Linked DNA regions of Callithrix jacchus. The protein of the gene in region 2 binds, or shares a complex with, the protein of the main gene of each other region. Links are inferred from orthologs where the notes say so. Each region holds a gene or a part of one and is shown on either strand. Other genes may lie near its edges.

Region 1 (3,648 bases), on a different chromosome or scaffold from region 2:
CTCCATCAGGACTAAATCTCACACAGTGAATAGGACCGAAGTGTCCCTTGTAGGATTCTGAGAAAGAAGAAGGCTATTAGATATTTTTAACTATTAGGTTAAATATTAATATGGTAAAAAAAAAAAAAATACTGTCTGTGTTTCTGGGGAGATGAAAAATTCTTAAGTACAAACATTAAAAACTTTACTTAATTAAAAATAATTTCTCATCACAAAAGTGGTACATCATTGACCATTTCTCTGTAAGATTACTCCTTTCCAAATCTAGCACACATTCTAGTTGCAGTGTCTCTTTAAAAAAGCAAATGAGGCTTCATGTCTCATTAAGAATGGAGAAAAAGAGACAAATGAACACCCTATACATTCTATAGGAAGTAGATTTAAATCTTATAGTTCAATCTCCAATTTCCTAAACTAACTGCCTATTTCTCAGAAAACCAATTTTTATCATGACTCTGGAGAGCCACCAGATGGAGCTCGTTCACACACTTTGCCTCTTGATTTCCTACCAGGCTATCTACAGTCCACTGTCACACAGAAAGGTGAGATACAGGATCAACACTGATCCATAAATATTTTAATCTATGGAACCTAACGAGAAAATGTACACATTAGGAGCGATGTTATATTCAAGTAGTACCTTTATGTATGAACCTTTCTCATTTACTTCCTAATGCCTCATCACCTAACCAGTTCTCAAAGCTCCTTACTGGACCAACGTTCCTATTCGGTCTCCGATCTCTGTCCAACCAGAGAATAGAAAAGTTGCAAGAGTAGAAAGAACACGGGTTTTGGAAAGAAAAAGGTTGGGCAGGTCTGGTATTCACTGTGACTTCAGATCTCAGGCAAATAATAATTTAGTTTTCTCATCTTGAAAAAGAATAAAATACGGAACCAAAACATTCTAAAGCTTTGAAAACCGGCATTAAATAAAAGTAACAGAAAAGAATATCTTATTTATAAGTCACTCGTATTCAAGCAATAAAAGCTGAACTGTAAGCAATTAAAATAGATTCCACACGGTCCATCACCAAGGTTCCATTTGTGCAACCCAGACAAGTCAATGTTCCCCAAGAAACAAAACACAAAAAATTGTCTTTTGTTCTTTGTGTATAATTCTAGCAAGCTCAGTTCTTTGAGTGGTAAAGCAGGACAGCTAGAAACAGATAAGAACAAGAAGTGACAGCTTATAGACAAAAACACATATTTAGAAAAGCTAAATATATTTCTTAATTAAAAGCAAAAACTATCTGGGAAGGCTAAAAGTAGACACTGAGAACCACATGTAACTAACTATGTGAAATATCTGGTCCATCAGATAAATATCTGTTAACTTCAAACTAATCCGCAGGCCTTTTCTTTCCCCTTACAAAGGACTACTATAAAAATGAAAGCAAAACTGAACCCCAAAATAGAATAAAATAAATAAAAATCAGAAAAATAACTCTCCAATTCAGATTCCTAAAGGTATCCCTGCAATATGCTATAGTGGTTTTTCCCCCACACACTGTTCTTTATAGAGTCTTAGGGATTCCTAAGTTGGCCAAAAGGAAGATGGGCCAAGTAGACGGGGTTACATACCAACAACATACCTCAGAAACAGTGGATCTCCTTGCATCTGTTTAACATGCGATTTGACATAAGATTCCCCCCTCCCTCCCAGCCAAGAAAGCCTAAAAATCATGGTACTATAATGCATAATATCAGCATAATGATGAACTTCAGTTAGAAGGACAAATTTCTGCATACTTTGTTTACAGATAGATAAAAGCATCTAACCCAAATGGTTAAAATTCCTTTACTTTTTCACTTATAAGCACCAAGCATTAAGTTGGCTGAAAACTGGCTTTCAGCATGTTATATAAATGAGGTGTTAATTACTGGAACTTAACATATGATAAAGGTCATCACATCACTGTAAGGGAGGACACAGAGAACAACTCACCTAATTCTTCTCCACTATTATAATCATACTTATAAAGTTTAAAATCTTCACCACCTGCAACAAGAAATTCTTTCTCAGGATGAAGAGAGGCAGAATTGATGGTTGCAGGAGCTTCAAAGGATTTAATTGGGTCCAAACTGAAAAAAAAATTAAGTCGTATTTACAAATCTTGAATATTGTATAAATAATACGAGAAAATAATGAGTTATTTAAACGATTCTTAAATTCTGAAATCCAAGGAACAATTAAATATACATTTACTCAAACATAAACACTGATATAAAAAAGCTCTATTAGCAAAACAAAAATTCAGATGTATACTATGCCCAAGTGGAGCTCATCTCAGGAATACAAAGACATTTTGAAGGAGAGATACCCAGTTTATGCAGTGAACGTCTTCTTGGAAATGAGTGCTGGCTAATTAAAACAGTATGAGTAATACATTGGGCTTTTTGCTTTTAAATAAATTTCACCTATATTGTTTCGTTTTTCTACAAGCACATATTATCTTTGTAAGTAGAAAACGTTTTCACAGTAGATAATGAATTAATATAGAGGATTATTTATATATTATTATCAACTGCTTAGGGTTTAAGCTCTTCAGCAAGATAAACTTTCAGTGTCATAAAATTTAAACTGCTAAAAAGTTTTTACTATAAGCCAATAAAAAACTAACAAAATTTGGGGCTCTAGTTACATAACAAAAATCAATGCACAATAATAGCTTCATCTTAAAATTAATTACAGTCTGGACATTAGCTCTTTTTCAGTTTAACCCTAAAACTCACGAAAGGCCTCCAATACAAAGCATTATAGTAACCCAGCTCCTAAATGTTTCCCATCATCATATACTTTAAAGCACGATAATTAAAGTTAGTCATGACTTAAGCAGGATCACTACATAACGAGGTCTGGCTCAAATGCTGGAATATTCAATGTGCCAGAAAACTTCTGCCACCAACATGGGATTTGTCCAACTGCAGAAGTGAATGAACAGCATTAATATACCAATTGACAGCTCCAGGCAACAGTATTCTACTATTATCAGTTCACTCTATGTGTACAAACTCCTTGACATTCTTAATTGCTCTCCTCCAGTTTTACTGCCTTTTCTTTCCTTCTCCCAGTTTAGTGAAGTTTAACTCTGCAAGTAGCCCCTTAAACACACGGTTAAGACACTGGTCAAATACCAATCAAAGTGTAATGTGGTATAATCTTTACGGAAATCAATTAAGTGTCATGTGTAACTAAGAACTTTAAACCCATTTCTACCCTTTGAACTGATAATTCTACTTACAGGATCCTATCTCCTGTGAAGAAACACTCAGAGATGTACCAGGGCATTCACCACAGTACTAAAATAGGGAAACTAACGCATAATTTAAGACAACCTATAATGCAATATAGTGTATCAACTAAAAATGTTTTCTCAGAAGTTTTAAATAGCTAATAATATTTTTAAATTAAAAAATCAAAATGACATTTATTATGGTCCTAGTAATTAAAGAAAAACACACAAATACTGTATACCCACATACATAACATAGAAAAAAAGACTAGCAGAAAATATAGCTACCATTAACATTCTTGCACCTATGGTTATAATATTGTGAGTACATTTTTTTCAATTGTTATATCGTCCAGTCTTTCTACAAGAGTATTTACTACATTTAAAGTTGCAAAATTTGAATCTCTTTAAAAAA
Region 2 (4,371 bases):
CTGGGCCTGGGATTTTGACACCATCGGCTCTGTTGTTTCTCAGCTGCTGTTTTCTGAAGTCTCAGTTGCCTCACCACATTATCATCGGGGAAAGTGTGGTCTACCTAGAACATAAACTTCCTAGGCCCTGTGTTCCAGTGGGGGTTTCGGTGTTTAGGACAGAGTCCCTTTCCCCTCTGTAGTGTTGGGTGTTCATTAATCACTCTTGAAGAGGTAAGGGGCTGGGCCTCAGCCTCCCCAGAGGCCATCAGTGGAGAAGGGTCTCGCTGACCTCAGATCGTGGGCATTTCCACGGCACACCATCCCTCCCAGTACGCTCTAGCAATAGGAAGGCTGGGAACGCCACCCAAAGCCACACCGTTTTTGCGGTCTGTGTATTTGGACGCCTCCCCAGCACCCAGTCAACGAGTTTCTTTTTCCACAGCAGTCAGTCACTCTCGTGCAGTGTCAGTGATTTATTGGTGTTTCAGCTAACCCGGTTACTCTCCATTTCAGCCATCAAGGTCTAGGGAGCCACTCCATTCCGAGGAGCCCTCAGCCAGCCTCCTTCCTGGTCAGCTCCTCCACTTTGGCCACGTAGGCCCTCATGGCGTCCATCCTGGACAGCCCTTGGTTCGCAGTCCACGCCTCCCACTTGGCCTTGGCTTTCAGGTCAGAGGCGGGAGGCGCGGGGAGGTGGCAGTCGCCCCGGGTGGCCTGCTTGTACCAGCCGTAGAGCAGCAGCTTGTCCTGGTCGCTCAGGGGGCCCTTCAGCTGCTTGAGGGCGGTGCGCGCCAGCTCGAACTCCACTTGGCACATGGGGCGGGAGGCGGCCGGGCCTTTCCGGGCGATCCGGGTGCTGGAGGCCGGAGGTGGGGAGGTAAAAAGGCCGGCGTCAGACCTCCAACTCGGGGGCAGGGGACGGGCGGCGCGTGGAAGAACACGCAGAGTCTGTATTTTCTTCTCCGCGACTGCAGGCCCGGGAGCCAGTGTCTGGGTCTGTCCACGATGTTTCTGTGGAGGAGCAGACGTGAGAAGCGCCTCCGGTCCCAAACGCGGCCGTCCCAAGGGGGCGGCGCGGCAGCGGCGCGCACAGAGTGCGAGCGTAGGACGAGCTGGGCGGGAGGAAGCCGCGCGTGGGGAGGCCGCGCTGGGTGGGGGCGGACAGTGTGCGGGACGCGCCCGGGGTCACCGGATGAGGGTGAATGCGGAGCCGGGGCTCAAGCCGGACGCACTGGGACCCGGAGGCAGGCCCGGGAGCAACGCCCGATACCTGACGGACGGGAGGCCTCTGCGAGGAGGCGGTGCTGTGGCTCTGCGCGCTCCTCCGTGAGGACTGCGCTTGCGCGGGGGGCTATGGGCGGGGACTGAGCACGGCCGCCGTGGCGCCTGCGCCGCCCATTGTGCCGTGCGTTCGTCGCCGCGCCCGCGTTCTCTGAGAGGGAGAGCCAACCCCGCGCAACCGCCCGCGTCGCTACCATGGACCTAGGTGGGTGCCGCGCTCCCTGCCCGGGCTGCGTCCCTCCACGCGTCAGCAGGGCGGTGCTCCCTGGCGCGTCTCCTCCCGCTGCGCGCACTGATGGGCCCAGGCGGAACGTCCTCCGCGTCGGGGCGGGTCTGGGGTTCCGGGTGGCTTTGGCTGGGGACCCGGGCCCGGCCTCGGGAGTCGCGCCGCGGAGTGAGGGTGGAACCCTCTGGGCCGGCGCACGTGCTATGGAAGCGCGGCTCCTTCAGCGCCCGGACTGCCGCGCTCCTGAAAGGCGCGTGTCTCCTGTCGTCCGGCTTCGTCTCGGCGGAGCGGGAGGGGGACGGTGCGTCTGCCCCCGAGGGCTGCGCGACTCTCCACGGAGGCCGCGGGCGTCCAGGTCCCGCGCAGAGTTGCCGGGGCGGCTGCGCGCCTCGGAACCGGAGTGGTCGGGGCCAGGCCCGGAACACGGAGCAGGTGGGCGGGCGTCCGGAGAGCTGGGGCCGCGGCGCTTCGGCACCAGCTCTCGGGAGCGGAATGGCGTCCGGGCACCCTGAGAAAAGCGTTTCTGCAGCTTCGTGTTCGGGCCTTGAGCGGGAACGGCGTTGTCAAGGTGGTCGTGATGCGTGAGGTCTCGCATGTGACCCGGCGCGGGGCTGGCGCGGTGAGCGCGGAACCACCCGGTAGCCCTAGCTCTTGGCTCTGGCGCGCGCTGGGCGCCGTTCCTGACCGAGCGCCGGCGGGTTTTCCAGCCGTCACTGCCCTGGCGCTACTGCTGCAAATGCGGCGGACTGCCTGCGTTTGGAAGGCGCGCGTGGATGGCCAGACATTGGCCCAAAGAAGCTGATAACGCAGTAAAATTAAATTTGCAGCGCTAGGGGGGGCCGCATTTTGGGGTTTGGGCGAGCCTCCTGACGGTAACCCTAGCGAGATCCCTCTGCAGCCTCGGCCTCAGCCACTGTGAGCTGAGGTGGATTTTCTCCGCAAATGGGTTACATGGGAGTGCTGAGCGCTGGGCCTGTGGCTGCTCCCACACATGGTGGCAAGGGCAAGACAGTCCTTAGTCTCCTGGAATCCGTGTTATCTCTGCTGATGTCTGGCCTGTAAAATGGAGACTGAGCTCTCAGGGGCATGAGAGACTGAGGAAGAAGCATCTCTTGGTCCTAGAAAAGGGAGAGGACTCAGGAGTGGGGAATAGTGAGCAGTGTCTATCCTGGGAAAGGGAGAAGACTAGGGAGTGAGGAATGGTGAGCATTGTCCCGATCCTGGGAAAAGGAGAGGACTCAGAAGTGAGGAAAAGTGAGCAATGCTTGTACCCTCGTTTTACTTCCTGGGCCAAAGGAAACATACCTGATAAAAACCTATGTCCTTTGATGTTTCTGAGCTGGGGCAGGCAAAGAACAGTGACAGGGTTTTGATCCTGCCAATGATGAGAAGGTTTGGGGAAACCAACATTGACTGAGCCCTGATCAGGCTCTGTAACCTGATTCTTAGTGTAGCTGTATCACATTTATCCATCACAGCGTCTCCAGGAGATGGGGTCAGGAGATAGCAGTACTAACCCACTACCAGGGGCTTGACTGGTATGCATCATATAATCCTCAGAGTCGTAACAAGAAGTCTGTATTATCCCCAAAGCTGCAGAAGGAAGGCTTGGAGAAGCAATCTGACCATGATCACATCCCTTACCCACCCCCCTTTTTTTAGGGGTCTGGGGGGGTCTCACTATGTTACCTTAGCTAGTTTTGAACTCCTGACCTCAGGGATCCACCTGCCTCAGCCCCCCAAGTAGCTGGGATTAGAAGTGCTAGCCACTGCACCCCTGGCCAGAATCACATTACTTTTAAATGGCTGATCTAGGAATCAAACCTATGTTTGATTAAACATCCCAAGATGTAAGTCTGTCAGTTATTCCTTCTCTGCAGGAAGGACTTAATTTAATGAAGTATTTTCTGTATCTACTCCCTGGTTTCTCCCACAGAGCCTGGGCCATGAGTAGCTTGTCTTTGGAAGGAGCTGTGGGGTGGACTGTTTCCCTGAAAGGTAGAACAATGTTTGAAGCCTGCTCCCAAGGCAAGGTTATGAAGGGCGAAGGCAGGGCTTGTCTGATTGCTTCTGTGCCCATTACCTGTGGCCATGTGATTGCTTCAGTGCTCATTACGCTATGGCTGTGTGATGGCTGCTGTGCCGTTACCCTGTGTCTGTGTGATGGCTGCTATGCCCATTACCCTGTGGCTGTGATTGCTGTTGTGCCGTCACTCTGTGGCTGTGCCCATTACCCTGTGAATGTGTGATTGCAGCTGTGCCCATTACCCTGTGGCTGTGTGATTGCTGCTGTGCTGTTACTCTGTGGCTGCATGATTGTGGCTGTCCTCATTACCCTGTGGCTGTGTGATTATCACTCTTCCCCCTTCATCTGTCATGAGAAACTCAGCTGTCATGTCCTGTGGTACATGCTCAATAGCTCTGTCGTTTGTACTGTCCTCGTGCTATTTCTGAACCTCTCTCCCCACATCCTCCTCTGGCCCATCCTTTGCTGAAGGGTTTGCCCTCAGCAGCCCAGCTTGTTCTTTTTACTTTTCCTGAGGGATCTCATTCTCTCTTGGTTCCGGTGATCCCCTTCTGGGCACATGCCTCTCAGAGTCACATTTCCCAGCTGACTTACCCCCTGAACTTCCACCCGGCATTGCAACTGCTGAAGGACATCTCCTCGATAGCCAAAATCCAGAATCACATTTCCCAGCTGGCTTTTCTCTTCAACTTGCATGGGGCATTTCCACTGCTGGAGAACATCTGTGCCTTGATAGCCAAAATCAAGCTTGTCTCTTCTCAAACCTGTTCCGATTCTCCTCCTTCCCTGTATGTGACGCCACCCGGGGTCCTCCCAGTTCCCACTCTAGAGAGCTTGGAAGTCATTCTGGATTCCT
Region 3 (3,648 bases), on a different chromosome or scaffold from region 2:
GCTGGTCTCGAACTCCTGACCTCAGGTGATCCATGCTGAGGATTTAATGAAAGCTATTTATTCCCGGGGAGGGGGGAATGTACCAATGCAGAGTAATGTGCAAGGTGATAGGTACAAATAAAAGTTGTTTTGTTAAGGAGATTATATTGAGCTGAATGCTTCTCCCAACTAGTCCTGCTTTTTCTGTCTGGCAGCAGAGAGTAGATCTGTTTCTTCTTGGATTGGACAGCCCTTCAAACATGTCAAATATGTAATCATGTCTCTGTATATGAGATAAACATCCTTCATTCCATTAAGCATTCTTGGTGCATTTTTTCCCCCGTACTTGTTTCTGTCTTTATCATTCTCTTTTGGACACACCCTTATCTGTCAGTGTCCATTAGTCTGGTCCAAACTAAACACATCTTAGCTGGGCACAGTGGCTCACACTTGTATCCCAGCACTTTGGGAAGCCAAAGCAGAAGAATTGCTTGAGGCCAGGAGTTTGAGACCAGCCTGGTCAACATAGTTGAGACAACTATCTCTGCAAAAAAATTTAAAAATTAGCCAGGCGTGGTGGTACGTGCCTGTAATCTCAGCTACCCAAGAGGCTGAGGTGGCAAAATTGCTTGAGCTTGGGAGATTCAGGCTGCCATGAACTGTAATCATACCTTTGCACTCCAACCTAGGTGACAGAGGAAGACCCTGACTCAAAAAATATAATAATAAAATAAGAAAAAACAACATGTCCCACATATTGTATAGCCACTTAGGCAATATGTTTGCCAGGGCTGCCGTAACAGACTAGGTGGCTTAAACAACAGAAATTTATTTTCTCACAGTCTTGAAGGTTGAAAGTCCAAGAACAAGGTGGCAGCAAGTTTGGTCTCTTCTTCTTCTTCTTTTTTTTTTTTTTTTTTTGACAGAGTTTCACTTTTGTTGCCGAGGCTGGAGTGCAATGACATGATCTCAGCTGACTTCAGCCTCCACCTCCTGGGTTAAAGCGATTCTCTTGCCCCAGCCTCCGAGTAGCTGGGATTACAGGTGCGCGCCACCATGCTCAGCTCATTTTTTTTTGTAATTTTAGTACCAAAAAAAGGTAGGGTTTCACCATGTTGGCCAGGCTAGTCTCAAACTCCTGACCTCAGGTGATCTGCCCACGTTAGCTTCCCAAAGTATTGGGATTACAGGCATGAACCACCATGCCCAACCTAAGGTTGGTATCTTCTAAGGCTTTTTCCATGGCTTGCATATGGCCACCTTCTCCTCTTTTCTGTGTGTGTGAGAGTCCCTGGTTCTCTCTTTGTGAGTTCACATTTCCTCTTACAAGGACACTAGTAAGATTGGATTAGGGCTGACCCTAATGGTCTCAATTTAAATTAATCACTTATTTAAAAGCTCTGTCTCCAAATACGGTCACATACTGAGGTACTGGAGGTTAGGGTTTTAAAACCCTACAAATTTTGGGGACAGAGATTCTCCCCGTAACTGGCACCCTATCTTTGGGTTGAAGTAATGGGAATATGGGAGACTCTAACTTATTTTGTTTACTGTTCTGTGTAAAAATTAATACACAGGAATAAATCTGTTTTTGTTTTTATCTTTTTTTTCTTTCAGCCAAAATCTGAAGATGAAGAAGGCTGGAAGAAATTTTGTCTGGGTGAGAAGTTATGTGCTGACGGTGCTGTTGGACCAGCCACAAATGAAAGTCCTGGAATAGATTATGTACAAGTAAGGGCTATGTCAATAAACAGAACAAAAAGCATTTTAATTTTGGTGCATCACTTAATATAAGGGGTCAGCAAACTACATCCTGGGCCAAGTCCAGTCCTTGGCCTTCTTTATATATCCCATGAGCTATGGATGGTTATTAGGTTTTTAAAGAGTTGTAAAAAAGAAACCAATAATATGTGACTGAGACTGTATGTGGCCTGCAAAGCCTAAAATATTTGCTGTCTGACTCTTGAGAGAAAATGTTTGCCAACCCAGACTTAGTTTAATAGCTCTTCCTCCTAACAAAACAGCCGTGACTTTTTTTAGGTTCACTTCATATCCCTTATATTTGGCTATATATCATTTTATGAGTTGGATAAGATTCAGGTTTTTTTAAAATGATGAGGCATTGGGCAAACAATGTTATGAGTAGCCATGAAAAAAATGGAAAACGACACAATTAGGCGCTTTAAAACACATAATCACATTTATCACTTCATGGGCTTGTAAAAAATAAAGTAAATCACATAATTTGAAGATGAAATGTTGAGGATATGTTTAAAATTCACATGGCTTTAATCATAAGTTATGGAGCCAACTCCTTGTCCTTTAGGATTCGCCTGTCCCCAAGTTTGCAGGTGTTCCTTTAGAATCCAGTGTGTGCCTCTGCATTAGTGCTTACTCTCTATATCATGTTGTTCTCTTCAGTTCAACAGGTATTTATTATTTGCTATATGATGCCACATTGTGTTTTTCCCATTTAATACTAATTTTTCCCAAAGATTGAAAGAGCTCCAAGTATCAATAAAAAAAACAAAAATCACTCCTCCCCTGCCCAAGAAAAAACAGGCAAAGGATGTAGATACCTCACAGAAAGGAAATAAAATTATTCTTATATGACAAGATGCCAAAAATCACTTGTAATAGAAGCATAACCTAACCATGCCAAGGTGCTATTTTTCAGGTAACGTATTGGCAAAGAAAGTTTGATACACCATATTAACAAGAGCTGGGAAAACAGGCACTCTTTCTTACACATGGTACAGGAGTGTAAATAGACTCAATCTTAGGGAAGGTAATTTGGTACTGTTTCTATATAACCAATTGATCTTTTGGATGATATCCTTAATATATGTTACATTTCAAAAATGGTTTTCTTTATATATATATATTTGATGAGACAGGGTCTTCTTCTGTCATCTGTGCTATAGTGCAGTGGTATAGGTCATAGCTCATTACAGCTTCAACCTCCTGGGCTCAAGCAATCCTCCCACATCAGCCCTCTACATAGCAGGGACAGCAGGCACCACCACACCTGGCTAATTTTTTAATTTTTTGTAGAGATAAGTTTACTAATATAAACATTTTTAATTTTTTATAAAATTTTTTATAAATTTTTTTTAGAGATACGTTTTTGCCATTTTGCCCAGGTTGGCCTGGAACTCCTGGGCTCAAGCAGTCCTTCTGCTGGGATTACAGGCATGAGCCATTATGGCTGACCAAAAATAATTTTTAATTTAATAAAGAATTAAAACTTCCTTATTTAGCTTATTTTCAGAGAATACAGGCAAGTAAAATATACCATGTTAAAATTTTAAAAAAACCCTTAAGAGTTAATGTATATCCTCTTAAGTTTCTCACAAATCAATGGTATTTTCATAATTAGGAATTACAGCCTCAGACTCCAAAGTACACTTTTAAAATGTGAATCAAATTAGATTTTTAAAATGTCATTTTAATTGAAATGTCCTTAATTCTTGAGAATGTTAGCTTTAGGCTGGGCACGGTGGCTCAAGCCTGTAATTGTAGCACTTTGGGAGGCAAAGGTGGGTGGATCACCTGAGGTCAGGTGTTCAAGACTAGCCTGGCCATCATGGTGAAACCCCATCTTAAAAAATAAAAAAATAATAATAAATTAATTTTAAAGAAAAAGAGAATGTTAGCTTTAGCTGAAAA

The links.
Region 1: GEMIN4 (region 2) and STRAP share a complex: the UniProt entries of both Homo sapiens proteins name them as parts of the SMN-Sm complex. The link is inferred for Callithrix jacchus from reciprocal best matches to the Homo sapiens genes GEMIN4 and STRAP.
Region 3: GEMIN4 (region 2) and GEMIN2 share a complex: the UniProt entries of both Homo sapiens proteins name them as parts of the SMN-Sm complex. The link is inferred for Callithrix jacchus from reciprocal best matches to the Homo sapiens genes GEMIN4 and GEMIN2.

What each region holds. Positions count from the first base shown.
Region 1 is NC_133510.1:7,410,909-7,414,556, forward strand, and holds part of STRAP (serine-threonine kinase receptor-associated protein), read right to left. Parts: intron 2,083-3,648; coding exon 1,946-2,082; intron 58-1,945; coding exon 1-57. UniProt on the Homo sapiens protein: The SMN complex catalyzes the assembly of small nuclear ribonucleoproteins (snRNPs), the building blocks of the spliceosome, and thereby plays an important role in the splicing of cellular pre-mRNAs.
Region 2 is NC_133506.1:63,630,070-63,634,440, forward strand, and holds the start of GEMIN4 (gem-associated protein 4), read left to right. Parts: upstream 1-1,458; coding exon 1,459-1,921; exon of another isoform or gene 1,922-3,384; coding exon of another isoform or gene 3,385-3,517; exon of another isoform or gene 3,518-4,371. Other genes in the region: diazepam-binding inhibitor-like 5, read right to left, coding at 535-798; uncharacterized protein LOC118153659, read right to left, coding at 875-993, 1,253-1,460. UniProt on the Homo sapiens protein: The SMN complex catalyzes the assembly of small nuclear ribonucleoproteins (snRNPs), the building blocks of the spliceosome, and thereby plays an important role in the splicing of cellular pre-mRNAs.
Region 3 is NC_133509.1:73,786,580-73,790,227, forward strand, and holds part of GEMIN2 (gem-associated protein 2), read left to right. Parts: intron 1-1,596; coding exon 1,597-1,710; intron 1,711-3,648. UniProt on the Homo sapiens protein: The SMN complex catalyzes the assembly of small nuclear ribonucleoproteins (snRNPs), the building blocks of the spliceosome, and thereby plays an important role in the splicing of cellular pre-mRNAs.